Linked DNA regions of Saccharomyces cerevisiae S288C. Changing the gene in region 2 together with the main gene of any one other region gives a genetic interaction. Each region holds a gene or a part of one and is shown on either strand. Other genes may lie near its edges.

The links.
Region 1: of PHO81 (region 2) and ATF2, extra expression of one rescues a mutant of the other (dosage rescue), as found in Saccharomyces cerevisiae (one study listed by BioGRID).

The regions. Positions count from the first base shown.
Region 1 is NC_001139.9:844,580-852,430, reverse strand, and holds ATF2 (alcohol O-acetyltransferase), read left to right. Parts: upstream 1-1,994; coding exon 1,995-3,602; downstream 3,603-7,851. Other genes in the region: PBP1 (Pbp1p), read left to right, coding at 1-1,384; ERG1 (squalene monooxygenase), read left to right, coding at 4,008-5,498; YGR174W-A (uncharacterized protein), read right to left, coding at 5,690-5,776; CBP4 (Cbp4p), read left to right, coding at 6,026-6,538; RBG2 (Rbg2p), read right to left, coding at 7,471-7,851. UniProt on the Saccharomyces cerevisiae protein: Can use acetyl-CoA to synthesize acetate esters from various alcohols, producing ethyl acetate, isoamyl acetate, isobutyl acetate, butyl acetate, hexyl acetate, heptyl acetate and octyl acetate.
Region 2 is NC_001139.9:952,948-959,892, forward strand, and holds PHO81 (Pho81p), read right to left. Parts: upstream 5,264-6,945; coding exon 1,727-5,263; downstream 1-1,726. Other genes in the region: prohibitin subunit PHB2, read right to left, coding at 1-533; NAS6 (Nas6p), read left to right, coding at 1,013-1,699. UniProt on the Saccharomyces cerevisiae protein: Inhibits the kinase activity of the cyclin-CDKs PHO80-PHO85 and PCL7-PHO85 under low-phosphate conditions.

The DNA.
Region 1 (7,851 bases), 110 kb from region 2:
TGAATCGCAAGGAACTTCCGGTAATATTCATATTGCAGAGGACAGAGGTATCATAATTGATGATTCTGGTCTAGATGAAGAAGACTTATACTCTGGTGTTGATAGAAGAGGAGATGAGTTGTTGGCCGCTTTAAAAAGCAATTCTAAGCCTAATTCCAACAAGGGGAATAGGTATGTCCCACCTACTTTAAGACAGCAACCTCATCATATGGATCCAGCAATTATCTCTTCGAGTAATTCTAACAAAAATGAAAATGCCGTTTCCACGGATACCTCTACTCCCGCAGCAGCAGGTGCGCCAGAGGGAAAACCCCCACAAAAGACTTCTAAGAATAAGAAAAGTTTGAGTAGCAAAGAAGCCCAGATTGAAGAGTTGAAGAAATTTTCCGAGAAATTTAAAGTTCCATATGATATTCCAAAAGACATGCTAGAAGTCTTAAAAAGGTCAAGCTCTACATTAAAATCTAATTCTTCGTTGCCTCCAAAACCGATCAGCAAAACCCCTTCGGCCAAGACTGTTTCTCCTACTACACAGATTTCTGCAGGGAAATCAGAATCTAGAAGAAGTGGCAGCAACATATCTCAAGGCCAATCATCTACCGGCCATACCACGAGATCTAGTACTTCATTGAGAAGACGTAATCATGGTTCCTTTTTTGGTGCCAAGAACCCTCATACTAATGACGCCAAGAGAGTGTTGTTCGGAAAAAGTTTTAATATGTTCATCAAATCCAAGGAGGCCCACGATGAAAAGAAGAAAGGCGATGATGCCTCGGAGAATATGGAACCCTTCTTTATTGAAAAACCTTATTTTACTGCGCCAACCTGGTTAAATACAATTGAAGAATCGTATAAGACATTTTTCCCAGATGAGGATACGGCGATTCAAGAAGCTCAAACTAGGTTCCAACAACGCCAATTGAACTCCATGGGCAATGCTGTGCCTGGTATGAATCCAGCTATGGGCATGAATATGGGCGGGATGATGGGCTTTCCGATGGGAGGTCCATCGGCATCACCAAATCCGATGATGAATGGCTTTGCTGCTGGGTCAATGGGTATGTACATGCCATTTCAACCTCAGCCAATGTTTTATCACCCATCTATGCCTCAAATGATGCCAGTTATGGGTAGCAATGGGGCTGAAGAAGGAGGAGGAAATATTTCGCCCCATGTCCCTGCAGGTTTTATGGCAGCTGGCCCTGGCGCTCCTATGGGTGCCTTCGGGTATCCAGGAGGGATACCCTTCCAAGGAATGATGGGATCAGGTCCATCTGGCATGCCAGCGAACGGGTCGGCAATGCACAGTCATGGCCATAGTAGAAATTACCATCAAACTAGCCACCATGGCCACCATAATAGTAGTACCAGTGGCCATAAATAGTGAAGGAAGCACGTCAGAAAAAGCAATATATAGTAATAAATTCATGCACTTTATAAATATGGTATATAATCAGTGGTACTTACTTACCCATAAATAATGGAACTTTTAATTTTTATGGGAAGGATACTGGATTTTCATTTTTTTCATTTTTTTTGGAACAGGGTACTGAAACTTTTCTTTTTGAAAAAAAAATAAGAACTGAAGAATTTCAATGAACTGGAAGGCTCATCCATTTTTTTTTTTTTTCTTCAGATAGAACAGGCTTTAGCAAATTTTAAGTAATCAGTATTTCAATCGCCACAATCTCAGGCTACATTGAACTCTGTAGGCCACCGATAAATATTGCGGGATAATGAGTAAACGAATTCAACGAGTTTCCTATTTTGGTATTCTATATTTTTTCATACACCTAAACGATCGTAAACATTTGTTGTCAAGATTTACGTTTCTTCGAGGTCTGTGAAAATAGAGCAAATTGTTACTTAAAAGACAACAACAAATGTGTAGGGCAATTCTGCAGTAACAGCAATGTCATTCCTAATGCGTACAAACAGTACTGAGACTTTCAAACGAATAATAACTTCAGCAATAAAAATTGTCCAGGTTAATTATGGAAGATATAGAAGGATACGAACCACATATCACTCAAGAGTTGATAGACCGTGGCCATGCAAGACGTATGGGCCACTTGGAAAACTACTTTGCTGTTTTGAGTAGGCAGAAAATGTACTCGAATTTTACTGTTTACGCGGAATTGAATAAAGGTGTTAATAAGAGACAACTAATGCTTGTCTTGAAAGTATTACTTCAAAAATACTCAACTCTTGCGCATACAATCATTCCTAAGCATTATCCTCATCATGAAGCGTACTACTCTAGCGAAGAGTACCTTAGTAAACCTTTTCCACAGCATGATTTCATAAAGGTGATTTCTCATCTTGAATTCGATGACTTGATTATGAATAATCAACCAGAATACAGAGAAGTCATGGAGAAAATCTCAGAACAGTTCAAAAAGGATGATTTCAAAGTCACCAATAGGTTAATCGAATTGATTAGCCCTGTAATCATACCTCTGGGTAATCCGAAGAGGCCTAATTGGAGATTGATTTGTTTACCAGGTAAGGATACTGATGGGTTTGAAACGTGGAAAAACTTCGTTTATGTCACTAACCACTGCGGCTCCGACGGTGTCAGTGGATCGAATTTTTTCAAAGATTTAGCTCTACTCTTTTGTAAAATCGAAGAAAAAGGGTTTGATTATGATGAAGAGTTCATCGAAGATCAAGTCATCATTGACTATGATCGAGACTACACTGAAATTTCTAAATTGCCAAAACCGATTACGGATCGTATTGACTACAAGCCAGCATTGACTTCATTACCCAAATTCTTTTTAACAACCTTCATTTATGAACATTGTAATTTTAAAACCTCCAGCGAATCTACACTTACAGCTAGATATAGCCCCTCTAGTAATGCTAATGCTAGTTACAATTACTTGTTGCATTTCAGTACTAAGCAAGTAGAACAAATCAGAGCTCAGATCAAGAAAAATGTTCACGATGGGTGCACCCTAACACCCTTCATTCAAGCGTGCTTTCTTGTAGCCCTGTATAGACTGGATAAGCTGTTCACAAAATCTCTTCTCGAGTATGGGTTCGATGTGGCTATTCCAAGCAACGCAAGAAGGTTTTTACCAAACGATGAAGAGTTAAGAGATTCTTATAAATACGGCTCCAACGTTGGAGGTTCGCATTACGCCTATCTAATCTCCTCATTCGACATTCCCGAAGGTGACAATGACAAGTTTTGGAGTCTTGTCGAATACTACTATGACCGCTTTTTAGAATCGTACGACAACGGTGACCACTTGATTGGTCTGGGGGTCCTACAACTTGATTTTATCGTTGAAAACAAGAATATAGACAGCCTTCTTGCCAACTCTTATTTGCACCAGCAAAGAGGCGGTGCAATCATCAGTAATACAGGACTTGTCTCGCAAGATACGACCAAGCCGTACTACGTTCGGGATTTAATCTTCTCGCAGTCTGCAGGCGCCTTGAGATTTGCGTTCGGCCTAAACGTTTGCTCCACAAACGTGAATGGTATGAACATGGACATGAGCGTGGTTCAGGGCACTCTACGGGATCGTGGCGAATGGGAATCGTTCTGCAAGCTCTTCTACCAAACCATCGGCGAATTTGCGTCGCTTTAATGCGATACTGCCGTAGCGGGCCTTCGTATAGCTCGGCCGAGCTCGTACAAAAGGCAAGCAGTGTATCGGACAGAGCTGATATAACACAATACGCTCGTAGTCGATGCATGCCGTGGCTGCTCTCGGTCGGGTATAAGTCTTAGACAATAGTCTTACCTCGCATGTATAATAAATCTTTTGTATTTAATCTATTATATGTTTCTATGCTTTTTTTTCCTATTGTTGTTTGCTTTTCCTTTTCCTTATTTCTTTCTAGCTTCTAATTTTCTTTCTTTTTTTTTTTTTTTTCATTGAAAATTATATATATATATATATATCAGAACAATTGTCCAGTATTGAACAATACAGGTTATTTCGAACAATTGAAAAAAAAAAATCACAGAAAAACATATCGAGAAAAGGGTCATGTCTGCTGTTAACGTTGCACCTGAATTGATTAATGCCGACAACACAATTACCTACGATGCGATTGTCATCGGTGCTGGTGTTATCGGTCCATGTGTTGCTACTGGTCTAGCAAGAAAGGGTAAGAAAGTTCTTATCGTAGAACGTGACTGGGCTATGCCTGATAGAATTGTTGGTGAATTGATGCAACCAGGTGGTGTTAGAGCATTGAGAAGTCTGGGTATGATTCAATCTATCAACAACATCGAAGCATATCCTGTTACCGGTTATACCGTCTTTTTCAACGGCGAACAAGTTGATATTCCATACCCTTACAAGGCCGATATCCCTAAAGTTGAAAAATTGAAGGACTTGGTCAAAGATGGTAATGACAAGGTCTTGGAAGACAGCACTATTCACATCAAGGATTACGAAGATGATGAAAGAGAAAGGGGTGTTGCTTTTGTTCATGGTAGATTCTTGAACAACTTGAGAAACATTACTGCTCAAGAGCCAAATGTTACTAGAGTGCAAGGTAACTGTATTGAGATATTGAAGGATGAAAAGAATGAGGTTGTTGGTGCCAAGGTTGACATTGATGGCCGTGGCAAGGTGGAATTCAAAGCCCACTTGACATTTATCTGTGACGGTATCTTTTCACGTTTCAGAAAGGAATTGCACCCAGACCATGTTCCAACTGTCGGTTCTTCGTTTGTCGGTATGTCTTTGTTCAATGCTAAGAATCCTGCTCCTATGCACGGTCACGTTATTCTTGGTAGTGATCATATGCCAATCTTGGTTTACCAAATCAGTCCAGAAGAAACAAGAATCCTTTGTGCTTACAACTCTCCAAAGGTCCCAGCTGATATCAAGAGTTGGATGATTAAGGATGTCCAACCTTTCATTCCAAAGAGTCTACGTCCTTCATTTGATGAAGCCGTCAGCCAAGGTAAATTTAGAGCTATGCCAAACTCCTACTTGCCAGCTAGACAAAACGACGTCACTGGTATGTGTGTTATCGGTGACGCTCTAAATATGAGACATCCATTGACTGGTGGTGGTATGACTGTCGGTTTGCATGATGTTGTCTTGTTGATTAAGAAAATAGGTGACCTAGACTTCAGCGACCGTGAAAAGGTTTTGGATGAATTACTAGACTACCATTTCGAAAGAAAGAGTTACGATTCCGTTATTAACGTTTTGTCAGTGGCTTTGTATTCTTTGTTCGCTGCTGACAGCGATAACTTGAAGGCATTACAAAAAGGTTGTTTCAAATATTTCCAAAGAGGTGGCGATTGTGTCAACAAACCCGTTGAATTTCTGTCTGGTGTCTTGCCAAAGCCTTTGCAATTGACCAGGGTTTTCTTCGCTGTCGCTTTTTACACCATTTACTTGAACATGGAAGAACGTGGTTTCTTGGGATTACCAATGGCTTTATTGGAAGGTATTATGATTTTGATCACAGCTATTAGAGTATTCACCCCATTTTTGTTTGGTGAGTTGATTGGTTAACTACAGCTTATAAGGGAGAGAGGATAGGAACCGTCAAACATTAAGCTGCACCTTTTTTTTTTATTACAGAAGTCGGCTTGGAAGGCTTGTATAGTACATTACGATAAACACATCTTATTTTTATTTATTACTTATTTATTTTACATATTTTCAAAAAAATTCACATATCATTTATTATTAACCGAAGTGTTTTATACTTTTTGTTCTTTCCTTAAAAATGCCTCCAACAGAAAAGGAAAAATGGCTTGATATGCTTCAAAATATGCATTGAGATTCATATTCGGTTATCAATTAACGATATTACTTCCTTAAGTGATATTAAATCAAGCTTGCCGGATTCTGCAGTCAGAATTATACATAATAGTATTTGTGCTCTCGTAAATCCTTTCAGAATTACACCATAGTAGTCTTTGTGAATGTTCTACTTATTAGAATAGATTATTGCTAGTTTATCTCACTTTTCATTCCCCATATCCCTTTTTTTGCTCATCCCCCGGGGTATTTTATCAAGATAAAATTTTATATACATGCAGTGCGCGATAACTCCTAGAGAGGCAGTAATAGCAAAACAAAGACAGTATAAGCATTATTTGGGTATGGAAAGACCATTGTGGGTACGTTGGTTGAAAGTCTATGCAATTGGTGGCGCTATTATTGGAAGCGGGTTTCTGCTTTTCAAGTACACAACGCCAACAGATCAACAGTTAATCAGCCAGCTTTCCCCAGAATTACGTTTACAATATGAGAGGGAGAAAAAACTACGTCAGTCGGAGCAGCAGGCTTTGATGAAAATTGTTAAGGAAACTTCTCAAAGTGACGATCCAATTTGGAAGACGGGCCCCCTTCAATCACCTTGGGAAAGGAACGGTGATAACGTTCAAAGCAGAGATCACTTTGCTAAGGTGAGGGCGGAGGAGGTGCAAAAAGAAGAGTTGGCTAGGATCAGAAATGAACTGTCTCAGCTAAGATCTGAAACGGAGGAGAAAACAAAGGAAATAGTCCAGGATAAGCAGGTTAAAAGCTGGTGGCGCTTCTGGTAGATGGGTCGGGTCACTCAATTAGGAAGGGCAGCTTGAACTTTTGCATCCTAAAACATACGTCTGTGTCATTTATGATATATTATTTATTTGTACACTGTAAATAGGTTTAAAAATATAACTTCATACTTATTTTTAGCTATTTTAGTTCCCATACTTGGGGATGGAAAAAACATTGCGCAAGCCCGGAATCGAACCGGGGGCCCAACGATGGCAACGTTGGATTTTACCACTAAACCACTTGCGCTTGTTATTTATATGAGATTATTGCATCATGCAATGGGGTAATGTCAAGGTTCTTGACAATCCTAATATAAACAGTCTTAGGGAAGTAACCAGTTGTCAAAACGGTTTATCAGCTTGATTCACGGGATCTTACTTATCCTATATATTATATAAAATATGGATCATACTAAATGGTGGAAGCGCGGAATCTTGGATCTAAACCAATTGTTCAGATACTTATACGTTAGAGTAGGTTAGCTAAGGAAGGCAGAGTTTTATTTTCATGTTGCTCATTCTGTTCGTTTTGCTGTAAGGTTGTTTCATATGTGTTTTATGAACGTTTAGGATGATGTATTGTCATACTGAGGTATCCCATTCTGAGATACAACAGAGAAGGTTCCTTTATACTTACTACACTAGGTACCACTATTATAATTTCGAGATTTCATTGTCATTCGGGTTTATTTATTCATTTGAAGCCCAGAATGACAATTTTTATGAACGGAGCTCTTCAAATTACATTATAAAAGTATATACGAATATACCATGAAAGTAACACCTTCCGGTTCTCACTAAAAAACCTATTTTCAGCATTTATTTCTACTACAAGGAAAATGAGTCCGTTTAGTCATGCAAAATCTCTGCTCCGTACTACAGTTCTCGATGCTGATCTTGTTTTTTCATGTTTCTTTAAAATCTATTCATTTATACTATTTCGCGAATAAAGAAACTACATCTTCATCATCAATCCTGTGGTTTAAGCCGCACTTCTGAGGAGAATGTTTGGCAGAAGAACCCCAAACCAATGCGTATTTGAACTTATCTTTGAAATCCCTGTGGATACCATGACATAAGTCACCAATAGTGGAATTATTTCTTACCACTAGAGGATCATCAAATACTGGTCTAACACCTCTCTTCTTTGTATACACACGACTCAAGTTCAGCTGGTACCAAATTTCTTCAACGACGTCTTGTAATCCCAAATCCATTTCACAGGACATAACAACGGTGTTTGGCTCTCTGGCAAGTTTATCCACCTCTTCTAATGATACTGCATCTATCTTATTATACACATAAAGACATTTGAC
Region 2 (6,945 bases):
GAAACTTTTTCTCTTTGAGTGATTAATTGTGACGCATTAAATTGGGCCACTACAGCCTTTAAAACTTCATTAACAATGGAAGGCAACACTCTTTCATCGTAATCCTGACCTAAGGTTCTGTATATGGTGGGCAATTGCACCACATCCGGTCTTGAAAGTACTCTACAGGTGATATTCACCATTTGTAAGTCTTTGGTACCTGTTAAAGAAGCAACATTACGAGGTTTTGCTCTCACATCATAAATAATTGGTGTGTCAAGCCAAGGGAAAATGAAGTGAGTACCTTCATTAAATATCCTAGAGGAAACACCATGTATTCTGGAATAAACAATGGCTCTATGACCACCATCTACATTGAACAGTGCATTATTAATGAACAGTGCACCACCTCCGAGTAAAAGCAAACCTCCCAAGCCTGCAAATGCCCCCCTTGGTGAAGGCACTTGACCTCTGCCTCCGGTTTGCTGTACCTTGGACAATTGTTTTTGGAACGCCTTTGCGTACCTTTGGAACTCACCAGGTGATCTATTCATCAGCACTAAATTATATTCTTTTCTAGCAGCCGCTTGCTTTTATTTCGTGAGCTACTAAAATACAACCTCCCCTGTAAAACTCTTCTGATGTCCTTTATGGTTTATGAATTGCCCTTTTTTGCTATTATTTCCCTTAGATGCCAAAATGAGCGATACAAGAAAAGTTTGCCACTCTATGTCGTTGATAGTGATTATGCAACACAATTACATGCAAGCTATTAAAATATCGACTAAACGGATACGGCCACATCGCAGTATTACTCATAGCAATAGAGGAAGTAGAAAGTATTTAAATGGGGCCACTCAAATTGCACACTGCTTTATGTAATCTGATTTCATTTCTATACAAAGAATATCTCTCTTACCCGGCTGTCAAGTATGATCGAAGGGCCCTTCATAAAAGGGTTCTTTAAAGAACGATCAGCTGAAGCTGTGATAATAAATGCTACATAAATGCATGCCCTTAAAACTGTATAACCATGTCTAATTATCCTTTGCATCAAGCCTGCATGGAAAATGAGTTTTTCAAGGTACAAGAGCTGCTACACTCCAAACCTTCCTTGTTGCTACAGAAGGACCAGGATGGCAGAATCCCTTTACACTGGTCAGTTTCTTTCCAAGCACATGAAATTACCAGTTTTTTGCTTTCTAAAATGGAAAATGTTAACTTAGATGATTATCCAGATGATTCTGGATGGACACCTTTCCATATTGCTTGTTCAGTGGGGAATTTGGAGGTGGTAAAGTCTCTTTACGACAGACCTCTAAAGCCTGATCTAAATAAGATAACCAATCAAGGAGTTACATGCTTGCACTTGGCAGTTGGTAAGAAATGGTTTGAAGTATCCCAATTTTTAATTGAAAATGGTGCGTCCGTAAGAATTAAAGATAAATTTAATCAAATTCCATTGCATAGAGCTGCGTCGGTGGGTTCTTTGAAATTAATTGAACTATTATGCGGTTTGGGCAAAAGCGCTGTAAATTGGCAGGATAAGCAGGGTTGGACCCCACTATTTCATGCTTTGGCTGAAGGGCACGGTGACGCAGCTGTATTGTTGGTGGAAAAGTATGGTGCAGAATATGATCTTGTAGATAATAAAGGCGCTAAGGCAGAAGATGTTGCCCTTAATGAACAGGTTAAAAAGTTTTTCCTAAATAATGTATAAGATTTCAAAACTACATATTACAGAACTTTACATATCAATATTATTCTCAAAAAGCAACTCACAAGCGTAGTAGATCCCGCTGTAACCTCCATCAGCTGGTATTTGGTCATTTTCCCCGACCGATGCAATCAACAGTAGTCCGTTTTGTTTGATGATCCTAGCCAACGACGGGCATATCTTCAGTACTTCATATGGAAGCGTTACACCTAACAAATTATTGTTCATAGCAAATTGAACCATTGTATGTATGTTTATTAGTTCCGTGTTTAAATACGACATTTTTTGAGGATTTACGGCCAGTTCCTTTAAACAATTAGGAGTATCACCTACAAATTTGCCTGTGGTTGAATCTCTGAGTAGATTTTTCATTTGCAACAAAACCGGAAAATTGGGTTGTTTCCAGTTAAGGATCGAGCAAGCTTCCCAATTGCATGAACTGAAAACTATTTGGCGCATACTCCCACTTCCGCTGTGACGCAAAAAACGTTCATGCTCGAAAATGATTAGTAAAAGCTTATCAATGAATTGATTGATATTTATAAATGGCGATATTTTGATGGGAATTGTGTCAATTTCCTTATCTGTAGGAAAATATACACGAATTACCAGCTGGGCTGACCCGGGAATAACTTCTAGTAGGCTTCTGAGAGGCACCACTCTCGAAGATAAGTATTGTTTCAATGTTACTTCATCGAAGCTTCCATCAATTTTACCGAAGTCATAATCCACTACCTTTTCCAATTGTTCTTTCGTTAAATCATTTAACAGAATCTTCGTGCCTTTGAATTCAACGTATGGTTTTGGCGCAGCCACTATGGTTTCATCATTCAGAGCGCAAACTAATACACTAATAAAACTGCCATTCAACGATGAAGAAGTAACAAAATTACCGTCTTTACTAGAGGTCATTAAATCACTTCCTGTAGATTTCCAATACGGCTCATAATTTATGATTTTCAGTGGATTTCCCGGATAAGGAAAAATAATTTGGTAATCCAAAGTGAGAGATCCAATATTATTTAGTCTTGTGTCGAATAAGGGTAAATTCATGGTTGCAATACTATTTATTGCCACCTTCTTGAAAAGGAATGGCATTGCCGTTGTTTTGGCAATTATCCTTGTGCCAAATGAAGGAAATATCTCGAAATCCATTGAAAAATCGTCGATTGAATCTACTTGGAAAATTATCTCTCCATCATCATGATCTTCACTAATTTCATCATCATCTTCTTCATCATTTGTTTCACTGATATCCTTACAAAAGTTATTAATTTCGCCAGATCTAACAGGTAAAATAACATTTCGCGGTATTATTTCAGGTAAGTTTGAGGATAAAGTAATTCTGCCTGGTGATGATGACATAATAATGCCGTTATCCTGAGTCAACTTGATAGACTCGAGACCTGGCCTCAACTTTAATTTGATGAAAATTTTTTTCTCCAAAAAATTATGACCATATTTCCTTAGTGGAATGATTGGCGGTGGTAAAGCAAAATCCGGAATGCTATCTTGAATGTCTAAATCAAATTTGTCATCATTTGGGGTTAAATCTATTGTATTAAGGCGTTGCGTACTAGACTGCGAATTTATTTCATTCAGGGGTGCAGATGGCAAATTTAATGGTCTTTGTAAAAGTGCATTCAAAACATCAACGTGGCTCTCCCATAAGGCGTAAAAAAGTGGCGAATGGCCGTTGTCATCTTCAATATCCAGACGTGCATTATGTTTCAATAGTTCAGTAATAACTTCAGAATGACCTGAACGAACAGCGTAAAAAATGGGCGTCCATTTATTAAACCCATCAATTTCGTTGGGATCCGCCCCATAACGTATCAATAGTTGAATTAATTGTGGATCGCCGCCAATTTTTGCCACTATATGAAGAGTGCATAAACCTGTTGAGTTCTTTTTGAAAAGCGGTTGACACAAGTGTTGTGAACTTTTGTTCTTGGCATTATCAGCATTTTGCTTACTCCGAATTTCTAAAAGTAACTTGGCGGCGTCATGATTATTAAATTTACAAGCAACATTTAAAGGATCGAACTGGACTTTAGTAGAGCTGATTACATTCTTACTATAATCCAGAATTGGCTTTTCAATGGGTGATGCGTTCGCACCACCAATAGTCAGCAGATCCCTAACAACATCTATGTGGTTGTTAGTGATAGCCAAAACCAAGGGTGTCTTAGAATCACTATCAATGGGATCAACGTCCTCTAAAAGATTGGTGATTAGCAACGAGTGAACAAATTCCAGTTTTCCTAGCTCTGCAGCATAATGTAGCGGCACCCGCGAATGTATATCTTGGGCATTCAGTAGTTTTTGTACTGTTTCTTTAGATAACTTTGATGTTGTTAAAGCCTCATCTAGAATAAATAAGCGTGATTTTTCTGGACAACTTGCAGCCTCGTGAAATACGTTTTTTCGTGAAAATACTTGATCATCTTCGTCACAATATGACAGATCAATATGATCCTGATTGCTTTTATAGAAAATATGCAGAGAGTTATCGTCCAAAGGACTAGCCACCAGTAATAAAAACAGCGTCGTTAAGCACTCCTTCAACAAAGAAAAGACATTTTTATGAAAAGATTCTGAGGAATTTTGTAGCAGATATGTGAATATCTTGGTTTCTCTGAAGTTTCTTAGTAGTGCATGCTTTCTTTGAACATCTTTCACCGTGGCTATATTCAAAATTTCCTTATACCAGTTTTCGATTTCCATCTCCATGTCCAAGGAGGAGGAAGATGCTTGAAAAAGATGTTCAAGTTGGTTTTCCGAAATCTTTGATGTTGTTAATTCATAATTATTGTGTAATATGTTATTATTATTGTTGTTGTTGTTGTTGTTATTATTATTGTTATTATTATTATTGTGTTTATTATTGTTGCTGGTATTATTGTCGTCATCATCGTCATTAGTAAACGTACTGGATTGTATGTCTGCCCTTCTATTGTTGTTGTCAATATCATTCAGCTCTAAGAGAATATGTAAAGTTTCATCGTTTAATTTTAGTGGCCCATCTCTGGTAAAAATTGGTTGAATGGAAACAACAGTAGCAAGGTAAAAATCTTTATCGTGAGATTGAGATCTCTTGTCCCATTTCTTCAGAGCTTTTGAAAATCCCGTTTTATTTAACTCAACATACTGCTCCAAATTTCTAAGATCCTTTTGAAACTTTTTGAAAGCCGCATATAAGTTTTTAAATGAGGTAGCTTGGTTTGAGTTTAGCTTACCATTTATCTTATAATCTTTATATTTTGAGTGTAATATATTGAATTTTATTCTTAAATCGGACTCTCTCGCCAAATAATAACCATTTACTTTTTCCAGCTCCCTCTCTAGTTTAAAAAAAAAGGCAGCTTTATTTTCTTGCAGTCTCTGATGTATAATTTTTTCGTCGATGTCATCTAATGTTAAATGCAAATCTAAATCTGAACTAGCCTTTAGCGTGGGAATGGCCAATTGTTTGATAAGTTTCTTTAGAGCCTTATAATCAATAAAATGGCTGTTGTACTCCGCCAGTTCCAACTGCCTGGCTTCCAAATACTTGCCGAATTTCATTGCACGTTTATCTATCTATGTTGCCTCCAAAGGGTTATTCTCTCAAAAAGCTCAATCACTGTGGAACCGAAAAATAATGTTATGAAGATTTTTTGAGCAGTATGTCTTGTCAAAAGCTCAACTAGTGCAGCTGATGTTGCTTAAAAAAATAAAAACCAAATTTTTCTACTTTGCTCTTGTACGTTGCACAAAGAAGATTATGTAACAAACTTGAAGGGACTCTCAAAAACTTGCTATAAATTGTACAAAAGCCTCAATATCACCTAGTAGTGGTTCTATACCTGTCTCGAGCCATCGCCAAATAGTTGATAAATTTGATTAATTTCTGCCCTTATTCGCACGTGCCATAACACCTGTACCTCTCACGCTAAAGACCTTTATAATCAAGGAAACTTGTTGCTGCAGAGGAAATAGGAGGTAATGAATTGTGATAAGGCACATCACATCAATTTTTCTTGCATTCTTGCATAGAAAGATAGGCTGATGCAATTAGCGCGTTTCAATCGCGTGCCAAAGACGTATATACTAAGCAATATAACCGAATTGATTAAGTAGTTGGTTAATTGTATATTTTGTGATAAAGATGGTTAACTGACTTAGGCGGACATAATAGTAGAAAATCTATATAATTTTTCCCATGCAGTTGTTATTACAAAATGCAATTCTTGAGATAGCACAAGCAAGAATAATAGGGCACGGTACGTTCATTCACGTAGCGTTAGCTAGTGCTGCCACAAGGTAAACGTACGATTATATTCATTTTTGAAACGGAAGTTCTTTGTAACCCTCATGCTCGTTTGATAGTCACTTAACTACAAGATATTCTCGTTCAGTGATTGCTTGCTTATAAATCAGGAAACTTCATTTTTATTCCTTACATTTTCGAAAAGCCCGCAAGGTTTTCTTCGCCACGCTCAAGCATTCATCGTTGAAAAGCAAAACTGTGCACACTGTACCTTAGGCGACTCTTCTCCGAACAAGCTCATGGCTCATTTTTAAAATCACAAGCTTCGTATAATTGCCAAGACATAATCTAATTGAGAAGGTCAGACGGCAAAACAAATGACCGAAATCTTCGTTTATTGGTTCGCCTGCGTTGCCAACTGGTACATTTTCCCAGAGTACCAGCAAAGGAAGGCATCCTTGATGCCTACTCTGATACTGTGGAGGATTTAAACTGAAAATGATAGTCTGCGCGGCAAATCTTTCTATTTCTACTAAAGTTGGATCCTCCGGCCGATATAACGTATTCTTTTTATCCAATAATGTCAATTTTAAATGCTCGATTACTAATCGTTACTAAAATAGCGGACGCGCTTATGCGTCTTCGACGGATAGTTTTCAGATCATCCCTCTCAGAAAGCAATGCAGGAACCGCCTGTAAAACTATCTTTTGCTGGCACTCACACATTATGGTATTGATGCCACCTGAAAATACGGAAATTAACCATTCCTTGTACGGAGATCTAAGAGCAACTATTATTGAATTGTTGCCGTTAAAGTTTCATTTCAGTTCCGTGTGTGGTCAAGTACAAGACTACTGATGAAATATGTTGTACACACACGGAAATATATATATATATATATATATAACAATATTGTGGGTTGAGGTGGAGACTTGATTTTTCTTATACAGTATATTCTTGTTCATTTTTTACCATTTTCAACAAACCACACAAAGA